3 linked regions of the Saccharomyces cerevisiae S288C genome follow. The protein of the gene in region 2 interacts with the protein of the main gene of each other region in a pairwise test. Each region holds a gene or a part of one and is shown on either strand. Other genes may lie near its edges.

Region 1 (4,890 bases), on a different chromosome or scaffold from region 2:
TAGGTAATAATAACCCATACTTTCATTGTAGCAGTACTTTCGTTAATAAAATGGATATTGTTGTACTTCGGTAGATGTTATATTCTAAAGAGTTAAATTATCCAATTCCAAATTCTAGGGACGGTTTCCAAAGATTTGTATTGTCCAGTGACATAATTTTCACTAAAACATTGATCTGTTTAATAGGTTTGCTATAAATGCACAATAATTTTTCACCCATGATACCCAATTTCAAGAGAAGCAATTGCTACATATAATTATTTAGGCTTTACTATCTACTACTCATTGACTGTGCCCTTTTACACAATTATAACAAATATGTCAAAGCAGATGCCATGAACTTTGTATCTGAATTTTTGATTTCCTTTTAATTCTAATTGCAGACGACGTAAATATAGTTCTGAATTTCAAAGTCACTGTTAATTAATTGTTCTAATTGTTTGGTTTTTTTAATATAAATCACTAGTGCTTAAGTTCTGTTGACGCACACAGTACCTATCTTTGATTCCTTCGTGCAAACAGTATTCCGGCACGTTAATTGATACCAAAAAGATTTCAAAATCAGATGCTTCAAGACTAATTGTATACTTTATGTGACTTCTGGAGTTTAATTTGTTGTATTGATGAGATAATATTGTCTATTATATTGCCAATAACAACCAGCGCCAGGTGTACTAAGTCGAGATGACAGAAAATTTATAATAAGTGTAAATACAATAAATTTTGTAAATAAATAACTACTTCAATAGAAATCTCAAAGTCGAAGAAACACAGAACACAGAATGAAACTGGACTAAATGATTTTCAATAAAGGAAAAGCACGAAAAATTTTTTGAACTTTTTTGGGACAGCGTGGATCGTGTAATTACTGTATTGGGAAATTTACACGATTCTCGACAAATAAAGAAAAAGGCGCGTTTAAAGACTTACAAGCACACCTTTGAATTATTTTTGTTCTCTATGATTATCAAATGTGCTAGTGTTTGCAAGATGGTGCTTTTTTTTCTTTAGATTGCCACGTTTCTGCTCCTCTTTGTGGTTTTCTTTTTTTTTTTCAATCTTACTTATAAAATGAATATTTCAATTGATGAATAGCTATATATTGGATACAAAAATTAGCATTTAATCGAAAACTGCAGCATGTATTTAATCGAAAACTACAGCATGTAGCTATGATACGACAGAAGATTTTTGTTTTTATAGTTAAGTCAAGAAGAAATTCTATTTGTCCAGCAATCCGGCGCAAAGAAGACTACTAAAGGGTATTGAAAAATTTCTAGAACCAGAAATAATCGAAAGCATTACTTTTTTTGGCTCTATAAAGGAGTTCTGGACAGCTTGAACTTCCGAAGTCTGTCTGTTTAGCTCGTTAAGATAAATCTCAAAAGAGTAGCAAGCAGGTGGGAGGGATAATTTGGATTAAAGTGTATATATTGCGTATATATAGCCACGTAAACCTCACACTATTGAGTTTAAACATTTTTCACCTTACGTTATTATTCTTTTGTCTAATTTTAATCTCCTCCAGTATACTAAAACCGCAAAAGCGGGTTACCCAGCTTGTTTCTTTTTGTCTGAAAAATTTTTTGCGATGCCCATTATGAAAAATTGGCAATAATAGTATAGTAGTTAGTTTAAGTTTAGATTCTTTCAATACTCATTCTGCTTCAGTTTGTAGTTAGATTTAACTCAATAGAGGTGATTGGCAAAAATGGGTAAGACACAAAAGAAGAATAGTAAGGGACGTTTAGATAGATACTATTATCTAGCAAAGGAGAAAGGTTATCGTGCTCGTTCATCCTTTAAGATTATTCAGATTAATGAAAAGTATGGCCACTTCTTAGAAAAATCGAAGGTTGTTATTGATCTGTGTGCTGCTCCTGGTTCATGGTGTCAAGTTGCATCCAAACTCTGTCCTGTCAACTCCTTAATTATTGGTGTTGATATTGTTCCAATGAAGCCGATGCCCAATGTTATAACTTTTCAAAGTGATATTACAACAGAAGATTGTAGATCAAAATTGAGGGGTTATATGAAGACTTGGAAAGCTGATACAGTGTTGCATGATGGTGCTCCTAATGTTGGTTTGGGTTGGGTTCAGGATGCTTTCACCCAATCTCAATTAACCTTACAAGCTTTGAAGTTGGCCGTCGAAAATTTGGTGGTGAACGGTACTTTTGTTACTAAAATTTTCAGATCCAAGGATTATAATAAATTGATTTGGGTTTTCCAACAATTGTTTGAGAAAGTTGAAGCCACAAAACCACCCGCATCAAGAAATGTTTCTGCAGAAATTTTTGTAGTGTGTAAAGGTTTCAAGGCACCAAAGAGGCTGGACCCAAGATTACTGGATCCAAAAGAAGTTTTTGAAGAATTGCCAGATGGGCAACAGAATATGGAGTCCAAGATTTATAATCCCGAAAAAAAAGTTAGAAAAAGACAAGGTTATGAGGAAGGTGATAATTTACTGTATCATGAAACCTCAATTTTGGATTTTGTCAGGACGGAAGACCCAATAAGCATGCTTGGAGAAATGAATAAGTTTACAATTGATGAGAATGACCATGAATGGAAGATCTTGAAGAAATTGAAACAAACCACAGACGAGTTCCGTTCCTGTATTGAAGATTTAAAAGTCTTGGGTAAAAAGGATTTTAAAATGATCCTAAGATGGAGAAAGATTGCAAGGGAAATCTTGGGCATCGAAGTTAAGGACGACGCTAAAACAGAAATTGAAGTAGTACCGTTAACAGAAGAGGAGCAAATTGAAAAAGATTTGCAAGGTTTACAGGAGAAGCAGCGTCTAAATGTCAAGCGCGAAAGAAGAAGGAAGAACGAAATGAAGCAAAAGGAACTACAGAGAATGCAAATGAACATGATAACCCCCACTGATATTGGTATTGAAGCCGCAAGTTTGGGTAAAGAATCGTTGTTTAATTTGAAAACTGCAGAAAAGACTGGTATCTTGAACGACTTGGCGAAGGGTAAGAAAAGAATGATTTTTACAGACGATGAATTAGCCAAAGATAATGATATTTACATTGATGAAAACATCATGATCAAAGATAAGGATTCTGCCGCTGATGCGGACGATTTAGAAAGCGAGTTGAATGCCATGTATAGTGATTATAAAACTAGAAGGTCGGAAAGGGATGCCAAGTTTAGAGCTAAGCAAGCACGTGGTGGCGATAATGAGGAAGAATGGACCGGTTTTAATGAGGGAAGTCTAGAAAAGAAAGAAGAGGAAGGTAAAGATTATATCGAAGACAATGACGATGAAGGTGTCGAAGGAGACTCCGATGATGATGAAGCCATCACCAATTTGATTAGCAAATTGAAGGGACAAGAAGGTGATCACAAATTGAGTAGTAAGGCACGTATGATTTTCAATGATCCGATATTTAATAACGTTGAACCTGATTTGCCAGTAAATACCGTCAATGATGGCATAATGAGTTCCGAGTCTGTTGGTGATATTTCTAAATTAAATAAGAAAAGAAAACATGAAGAAATGCACCAGAAACAAGATGAAGCAGATTCTTCGGATGAGAGTTCAAGTGATGACTCCGATTTCGAAATTGTGGCCAACGATAATGCATCAGAAGAATTCGATTCTGATTATGATTCAGAGGAAGAAAAAAATCAAACAAAGAAAGAAAAGCATTCCAGAGACATTGATATTGCTACTGTTGAAGCCATGACTTTGGCACATCAGTTAGCATTGGGTCAGAAAAACAAGCATGATCTTGTTGATGAAGGTTTCAATAGATACACCTTCCGTGACACCGAAAATTTGCCAGATTGGTTTTTAGAAGATGAAAAGGAACATTCAAAGATAAATAAGCCGATTACTAAGGAGGCAGCGATGGCAATTAAAGAAAAAATAAAGGCAATGAACGCCCGTCCTATTAAGAAGGTTGCTGAAGCTAAGGCAAGAAAGAGGATGCGTGCCGTAGCTCGGTTAGAAAAGATCAAGAAGAAGGCGGGCTTGATTAACGATGATTCAGACAAGACAGAGAAGGACAAGGCTGAAGAAATTTCTAGATTGATGCGTAAGGTTACCAAAAAACCAAAGACCAAGCCAAAGGTTACTTTGGTTGTTGCCTCAGGTAGGAACAAAGGTTTGGCAGGTAGACCAAAGGGCGTTAAGGGTAAGTATAAGATGGTTGATGGTGTCATGAAGAATGAACAAAGAGCCCTAAGACGTATCGCAAAGAAGCATCACAAGAAAAAGTAGTAACAAAGAGCATTATTTTTCCATTCCCTTGTATAATATTGAAAATAAAGGAAAAGAAAGCAATAGATATATTATGTATACATAGAATTAATCAAATTATCATCAAAAAACTTATAGGAAACCTATCGTTTTGAATTCAGAAAATACGAGTGCACAGTAGAACAATTTTTATTCCCGTTTTACTGATCTTTTCTTCTTGTTGTTACCAAATACCTTGGAGAAAATGTATATGATGGAGATGAGTAAGCATAGTAACGTACCATTTTTGATCTTGGAATAATCCTTTGTGTCAGGCCTTGGAATTGGTACTAGAAGAGTTGTCGAGTTCAAATGGCGGAATGTAGTATCGTCTGTAAAGAGAGATTCATATCCTAGACCTTTTTTATAAAATGGATTACGGGAAACTTTATTGTCACCTGTGTCGCAGGCTAATATAACTTCTGGATCAAATGAAACTTCTAATTTATCCCCTTTATTATTAGAAGGCTCAATATATCTAGTATGCAATGTCACTTCATTCATTGTGCCGGCTTTCAATTCAAAGATACTTTCAGAACCCCATGCCTTATCTCGAAGAGAGTATTCTGGTAATTCTAAGTCGTCTTCTCCAAAAAGTAGTAAGGGAGAGGATTGGAATTTATCGATAAATAATT
Region 2 (3,538 bases):
TGGATGCATCATACAAAATACAAATTGTTAAGCAAAAAAGTGTCGCTCTGCTGTAAGCTTTGTGATGTTATATTTGATCGTATGGTGAGGAAAAACAATACACCTCATGTTATATAATGATCGTTGTTTTAGGTGAGATGTGGAAATAGAAGAGAGATTTTTAAACAAAAAGTAAATGGTTTTAAACGTTGGCAATAACAAGGCCTGCTCACAGCAAATAAAACGGGAATAGAACAGGAACGGGAATAGAACAAAGATAAGAAAATTGAAAGTAGAAAAGACAAATAGTGAGAAACAAAATGCAAGAGAAAATGCATCGCTTGAGCCCAATGTTCCTACCAATATTAAGGGGATTTCAGGTATCAAAGTCGCATTGACGTATAAAATACTCCAAAAAATGCGCTCTGTTTACTTTGTTATCTATGAAATGAGGAAAATGCAACCGGTGAGTGTAAAAGCATCCTGCAGGAATTTGTTACAACTTCATCTCAGTTACCAACATAGCCAACGGACGTCGATATTGTCCTTTACCCCACTGGTAGTGAAATACTTTCGAGTAAATGTCAGGACGTTAGAAATCATCCGAGTCATGCTTCGACTCCATGTATTTTTATTCTCTAAGTGTGCTTTGGAGTTTCCCCGCGAGTTCTCACAGAATTGGCTTTACTGCCAAAAGTTGAAGACAGCATAGTCATTGGCTTCGTCAAAAGATCTTCATTATTTAAAGCAAGCAATGATCAATTCTAAGACGGGTTAACAAAATATGGACAGAGCATCTTCAAGCAAAACTAATGCGGCAATGTTAAGCTTACATATATTCGAACGGTAATAACATCGATAATACGGTTATAGCCACCAACTCTGCATTATAGAAATGAGAAAAGCGCCATAGCTATTATTTAACGTAACTTACCAGAAGTCCTTGAGCAGACGATTGAGCATTGAATAAAAAATAAAATTCTTGTAATTCTTGGAAGGAAGAACGACACAAATAGATAAATGGCGTATTTTCTGAGCAATGAACTGTGTTCCATCAAAAACATTTTATCGCACACCATAGGCACTTAGAAAAACAAACCTTTGTGCCAGTATTTGAATGAAAACACTTTGGTTGAAATGTATTGTGAAATTAATCATCGAGCACTTTACGGTTGGCAACGACACATTACTGACGTTCTTTCGCCGATTTGTTACTTTAATATATTGTACAAAAATGCATCAAAGAACATAAAAGAGAGCGATCGCACAATCAAACTTCTTTTGGAAATAATCTGTCATCAATGCTCCAAACATTCTACTATCACCTGTTCATGATATTATGGGGAGAATATGCCAAATGTATATGACACATCGCATACTTTCTACCTTTTTCAACTGGCTTGCTTCCTCTACCTTTCACTAAAATCTGGATTGCATCTACATCTATATAGTCAAAACCGGCAAGAACAGAGATTATGATACATGCTTCATGTTCCATTGATTAGAATCCACTAGTATTAGCTCGCTGTTCAATTTTCAGCCCTCTACGGACTGTCGTCATTCCTAAAGGACGGCAAAATTTAAAAGTGAAGGTAAAATTTTTAAATTCGAAAAAAGAGCCTACTAACACGTTTCTATATAATACATAATTGTGTGAAAGTTCATACATAATTGAAAGCAAGCATCCAACCAGCCCAATATGTCTGATTTGTTACCACTAGCTACCTACAGTTTGAATGTTGAACCTTATACCCCGGTTCCAGCAATCGACGTCACGATGCCCATCACCGTTCGTATTACTATGGCTGCTTTGAACCCGGAAGCCATCGATGAAGAGAACAAACCATCGACTTTAAGAATTATCAAAAGAAACCCGGACTTTGAAGATGATGATTTTTTAGGTGGTGATTTTGATGAAGACGAAATAGACGAAGAATCCTCTGAGGAAGAAGAAGAGGAAAAAACCCAAAAGAAAAAGAAGAGTAAAGGCAAGAAGGCTGAAAGTGAAAGTGAGGATGATGAAGAAGACGATGACGAGGACGATGAGTTCCAAGAATCCGTCCTTTTGACTTTATCTCCGGAAGCCCAATACCAACAATCTTTGGACTTGACCATTACTCCAGAAGAAGAAGTCCAATTCATTGTCACTGGTTCTTACGCTATCTCCTTGAGCGGTAACTATGTTAAGCATCCATTTGATACTCCAATGGGAGTCGAAGGTGAAGACGAAGATGAAGACGCTGACATCTATGACAGTGAAGACTACGACTTGACCCCAGATGAGGATGAAATTATTGGCGACGACATGGACGACTTGGATGACGAAGAGGAAGAAGAAGTTCGTATTGAAGAAGTCCAAGAAGAAGATGAAGAAGATAATGATGGAGAAGAAGAACAAGAAGAAGAAGAAGAAGAAGAACAAAAAGAAGAAGTTAAGCCAGAACCTAAGAAAAGCAAAAAGGAAAAAAAGAGAAAGCACGAAGAGAAAGAAGAAGAAAAGAAAGCTAAAAAAGTAAAGAAGGTCGAATTCAAGAAGGACTTAGAGGAGGGTCCAACAAAACCCAAAAGCAAAAAGGAACAAGATAAGCATAAACCAAAGAGTAAGGTTTTGGAAGGCGGCATAGTAATCGAAGACCGTACTATCGGTGATGGCCCACAGGCTAAGAGAGGTGCCAGAGTAGGCATGAGGTACATTGGTAAGTTAAAGAACGGTAAAGTTTTCGACAAGAACACCAGCGGTAAACCATTTGCATTCAAACTTGGCCGTGGTGAAGTTATCAAAGGCTGGGACATTGGTGTTGCCGGTATGTCTGTTGGTGGCGAACGTAGAATCATCATTCCAGCACCATATGCCTACGGGAAGCAAGCTCTGCCAGGTATTCCTGCCAATTCCGAACTGACATTCGACGTTAAATTGGTTTCTATGAAAAACTAGTACACGCGCTCGTACGGATAGATGTTTATATATATTATTCTTTTTACATAATATTGTAACCTTCTGTATGTAAATCCGAAAACATTCTATTTCTTTTTAGTATCTATTGCTCTTTATAAGCTTTTCATTTTACTTTTCTCCGCGGATGATACAAATAAAGAAGCTGTGTTGTATAGAAAGAAATATATGGCGGCAAAAAAAGCGTTATCTTCTTTCTGTTCCTATTTCACTGAGTGCTACTGGATGGTCGTCAAGAAAGGTGAAGAAATCTTCAAAGCAATAAGAATTCAGACATTGACGTTAAATTAGATTATCGCCGCAGCTGTAATTGCGGTTATGGCCTCTAGTATTTAGTTCGATGTTAATGAAATAAAGCGCAAGCTGACTGTGAACGATAACCGCCAGGAAGGCTAGACACAGCTCTTCAGCTAAACAGTAGCCGGAACACATATACATTAGGGAACATTAGAAATAAGGCTCTCGTTGATCATCCTTGTAACTGAAAATTAGAACCGTTAAACGCTGCTGATTGATGGATTCCAGCCGTTCTCTTCCAACCCCTTTTACCCCGATTGTTCGTCCACTATCATGACTTATTATCCACTAAAGTGGCGTTGGCTGTAC
Region 3 (3,733 bases), on a different chromosome or scaffold from region 2:
GTGAAAAGCAAAGAGTAAATTTTGCTAGAATCATGTTTCATAAACCACTATACGTAGTATTAGATGAGGCTACAAACGCAATTAGTGTTGACATGGAAGACTATCTGTTCAATCTTTTAAAACGATACAGATTCAATTTCATTTCCATATCACAAAGACCCACATTAATCAAATATCATGAAATGTTACTAGAGATCGGTGAAAATCGAGATGGCAAATGGCAATTACAGGCAGTTGGTACCGATGAAGCAATCACGTCGATTGACAACGAGATTGAGGAATTGGAGAGAAAACTAGAAAGAGTAAAAGGTTGGGAAGATGAGAGGACGAAGCTACGGGAAAAGCTTGAAATTATTTGAAAACACCCTAGAAAGGGAGAGATTTTATTTAGCGAATATAATTTATATATTATTTCCGTAACTGAATTTGTACTTTTGAATGTTTAACTGATATCTAGAGATATCGACATGGGAATGCCCTCTCAAACTAGAAAAGGGCAGAGAACGAAAAGAAAATGAAACAATTTGTTACCTACTATACAGTTGTTGGTCTTGCCAACACAAATATGAACATATATATATATATCTCACTTGATGAATCCACGTATCAAGGACAACCTTTTCATGGAAACATATACTGTAAAACAAAAAACTCTATTTGAAGTCCTTATGTGTCCACTTTTCAGTGATTTTCTGCTTATACTTTCTACCTTTCCTAACGGGCACTCTTGTTTCGACCTTACCAGAACTTTGTAGTTTTCTCACAGTATCATATAGCAGATTTCCTTCAGGTTTCAGTTTTCTCAATGAGTCAGATAATTCGTCAGAAAATTTAATCTCCAATCTTTCATCAATCACAGAGTATTTCGTCCCTAACTTGTGTTTCTTATTTTTCTTGCTTTTTTTAACCTTGTTGCTATCTGACTCTATGGCTGAAAGTATCTCAGTCTCTTCAGAATTGATAACTTCTTCTAAATCTTTAACACGTTGTCTCAATTCTTTCAACTCTTGTTGCAATTTTACTTTCTCTTCATGTCTCTTTGCCTTGTTTCTTTGATATTTTGTTTTCTTTTTATTCTTCACAGGCTTATTTATTGATAGTTTTATTTCCTTATCAGATCCACTACATTGCGTACTTTCATTTTCATTTTCATTTTCTTCTTCTTCTTCTTCTTCTTCTTCGTTTGATGAAGACTCTTCCTCTTCATTGTCATCTAAAGTTTCCATTAAATGTCTAATTCTTTCTTTGTACTTTTCCAAGGCGATTCTTTCATCTTCTCTTGCCTTTTCCTCTTTATACTCTTTGTTTATCAATTCTGACCAAGCTTTATTGTTGGGATTGTAGGATTTACCAGCATGTGGAATTTCTGTGAATTCTTTTACTGCAATTGGCTCTATATCTAAAGTACTTGGTCTGACTGAAGCAGTAGACCAACTTGTCGTGGATTTTTTCAATAGTTCTTCAGGTATCTGGTCCTTTTTTTCCACATCAAGTTTGATACCGGAAGGTAATTTGACCTTCTGTTTCTTTGAATTGGATTCTTCACCCCATAAGTCGCCAGCCGTTGTTTTAACTAGACCGTCTTTGGCAACTCTATTCTTGATCTTCGATTCGCCGTGTACTCTGCCAGCCAAAGCCATTAATTTCTTTAATTCGTGTTTAGAAACACCTTGAATCTTATTAGGATTTCCACTACTATTCTTATGGTGATTTAGTGCTGCAATTTTTGAATTCGTTTTAACGGCGTCTAAAATCTCTTTACTTTTTAGAACCTTCTTAATTTGTTTCCTTTTAATTAATTTATTTTTCAATATCTCATCACCCTCAACATCAACATGAAAAAGAGCATCATTTTGCAAAGAGGTTATATCACTGGTACCATGCGTAATTTCATGATCAATTTTCTTTTCCATATATTGTTCTACGTCAGATAAATCGATATTTTTTCTCCATGCTTTCTTACCCTTTCTTGAAGACTGTTTGTATTGAGATGGTTTCTTGGTTAGATTAGTTGGAGCCATTTTTAAATAAATGATTCATTAACGTGAGGATGGTATGGATCACAAGAAAGCCGAACTAATAGCATAAGTTGTAATGTAAGGACCCCATCGCATTTTTATTGCTCTTTTCTTTTTTAGAAGTGAAAAAGCTCGGGCACGGAAAATTTTTTGATGGAATTATAGAATTTCGTCAAATATGACTGTATTCTCTCAGAGCACACCTGTTAGGTAATACGCAATATTATGATAATATTACTTTAGTACTTGGCGTTAGCCTCTTGTGTTTCATTGTTATGGAGTGATAAAACAGGCCTATGGTTCGATAAGCGTACAGATTTTGGGATATACCATAAACTTTGTATAGAAAGTGTTGTATAAGTGCATATACTCCATCGATTATGTGGTTCTACAAAATTGACATAAGAAAATTAGAGAGTTATAAAAAAGACAAAAGTGAGGATATCAACAGAGAAGATAAAATATAGTAATAGGTTGTAAATAATAACAAAACTTGCATGAAAACTTGGTAAACTTCAAATTTTAACCTTCGTATGATGATTAAAAAGGATATGACATCATGAGAAAAAAATGAGCGATCTGTCTATCAATAATTAAAGGAAGAAGTAGAAATAGATAAAGGTTTTTTCTGCTTCATCTTTAACAGCAATATAGCATATTCTTGTGGTTCGAAAGAATAAATTCTAGTCATTATAGTGAAAAGAGAACAAAACAATATAAGATTTAGGGGATGGTAAAAATGATTTCTTAGTTCCTCTAATGATTTCATATCCTTTCCTGTCACATGAAGAGAAAAAGGAAGGAAAAAGAAGAAAAGATAGATAATATATTAGTGCAACGGTAACAAGTTGTTACTTTATCGTTCTCCTTACAAAACAATTTCCTTTTCTTCGTCCCACAACTCTCTTTGGAATCTCCAATGAATGGATGAAAGATCCTCCTTCCTGTCTTCTTTGTCACCCACCAAAGTACCACTTGGAGCATTCTTCGTTGATAAATTTAGAGCAGAGGCGAGTTTTAAGAAAGTGTCATCCTTTTCAGGTACAAGGGCGCCTTCTTCGGGCGTGACAGAGTAGTCAAAATCTTTGAACCATCTTCTTTGCCAGCTAATGCCTTTAGCTTCTTCCTCTTTTCTCAATTCTCTTTGCGTTTCTTCCAATTCAGTTTTCGTTTTGGCAATTAAGTTAAAATCGCCTAATTTGATGGCACCAGCCACGTCGTACCAGGCTTTTCTACTTTCCAGTGGGTGTTGCTCCTCCAAAGGCTTGACATTCAGATGTTCAGCAGGGATTCTAGCAGCATCGTAAAATAATCGTGATTCTTCTTTCTTATTTGCCTTGATTATTTTAGAAGAGCCAGACCATTGGCCTGATATTGTGTATAATGCCTTTTCCTTGTCCTTGCTATCTTTAGAGTCTTTGTAAATTCTTGCCTTGAATGAATTCTTTTTACCAGAAAAGTAGCCTCTACCTGAAAATTCAATAACACAAAGTAGACCTGTCGAAGATTGGATATATGATTTTCCTTCCAATTCAACAAAGGGAGAAGCGACAAGAATACCTTCAATATGCAATGGAGGTGGGGTAACCAAATAACTCTCATCCTTAATATCCAACATAGTGTGACCAAATTGTTTAACAGTCAGCATTAAGGATTTAGTGAAACTGGCTTTAATTTGGTTGTAGCCTTGCAGCTTAACCTTGTTCTTATCATTG

The links.
Region 1: the proteins of FPR3 (region 2) and SPB1 interact in binary tests that used the Saccharomyces cerevisiae proteins (3 or more experiments, as listed by UniProt).
Region 3: the proteins of FPR3 (region 2) and NOP53 interact in binary tests that used the Saccharomyces cerevisiae proteins (3 or more experiments, as listed by UniProt).

Annotation. Positions count from the first base shown.
Region 1 is NC_001135.5:29,738-34,627, forward strand, and holds SPB1 (27S pre-rRNA (guanosine2922-2'-O)-methyltransferase), read left to right. Parts: upstream 1-1,711; coding exon 1,712-4,237; downstream 4,238-4,890. Other genes in the region: RDT1 (Rdt1p), read left to right, coding at 1,173-1,259; PBN1 (Pbn1p), read right to left, coding at 4,406-4,890. UniProt on the Saccharomyces cerevisiae protein: Required for proper assembly of pre-ribosomal particles during the biogenesis of the 60S ribosomal subunit. Specifically methylates the guanosine in position 2922 of the 25S rRNA at the stage of 27S pre-rRNA maturation.
Region 2 is NC_001145.3:119,465-123,002, reverse strand, and holds FPR3 (peptidylprolyl isomerase FPR3), read left to right. Parts: upstream 1-1,678; coding exon 1,679-2,914; downstream 2,915-3,538. UniProt on the Saccharomyces cerevisiae protein: Proline isomerase that belongs to an abundant class of enzymes that catalyze the cis-trans isomerization of X-Pro peptide bonds and can accelerate the refolding of proline-containing polypeptides. Specifically binds nuclear localization sequences.
Region 3 is NC_001148.4:275,509-279,241, forward strand, and holds NOP53 (Nop53p), read right to left. Parts: upstream 2,022-3,733; coding exon 654-2,021; downstream 1-653. Other genes in the region: ATP-binding cassette long-chain fatty acid transporter PXA1, read left to right, coding at 1-359; oxysterol-binding protein KES1, read right to left, coding at 2,887-3,733. UniProt on the Saccharomyces cerevisiae protein: Late-acting factor in the nuclear maturation of 60S ribosomal subunits, which is required for normal acquisition of export competence. Required for the export of the large subunit.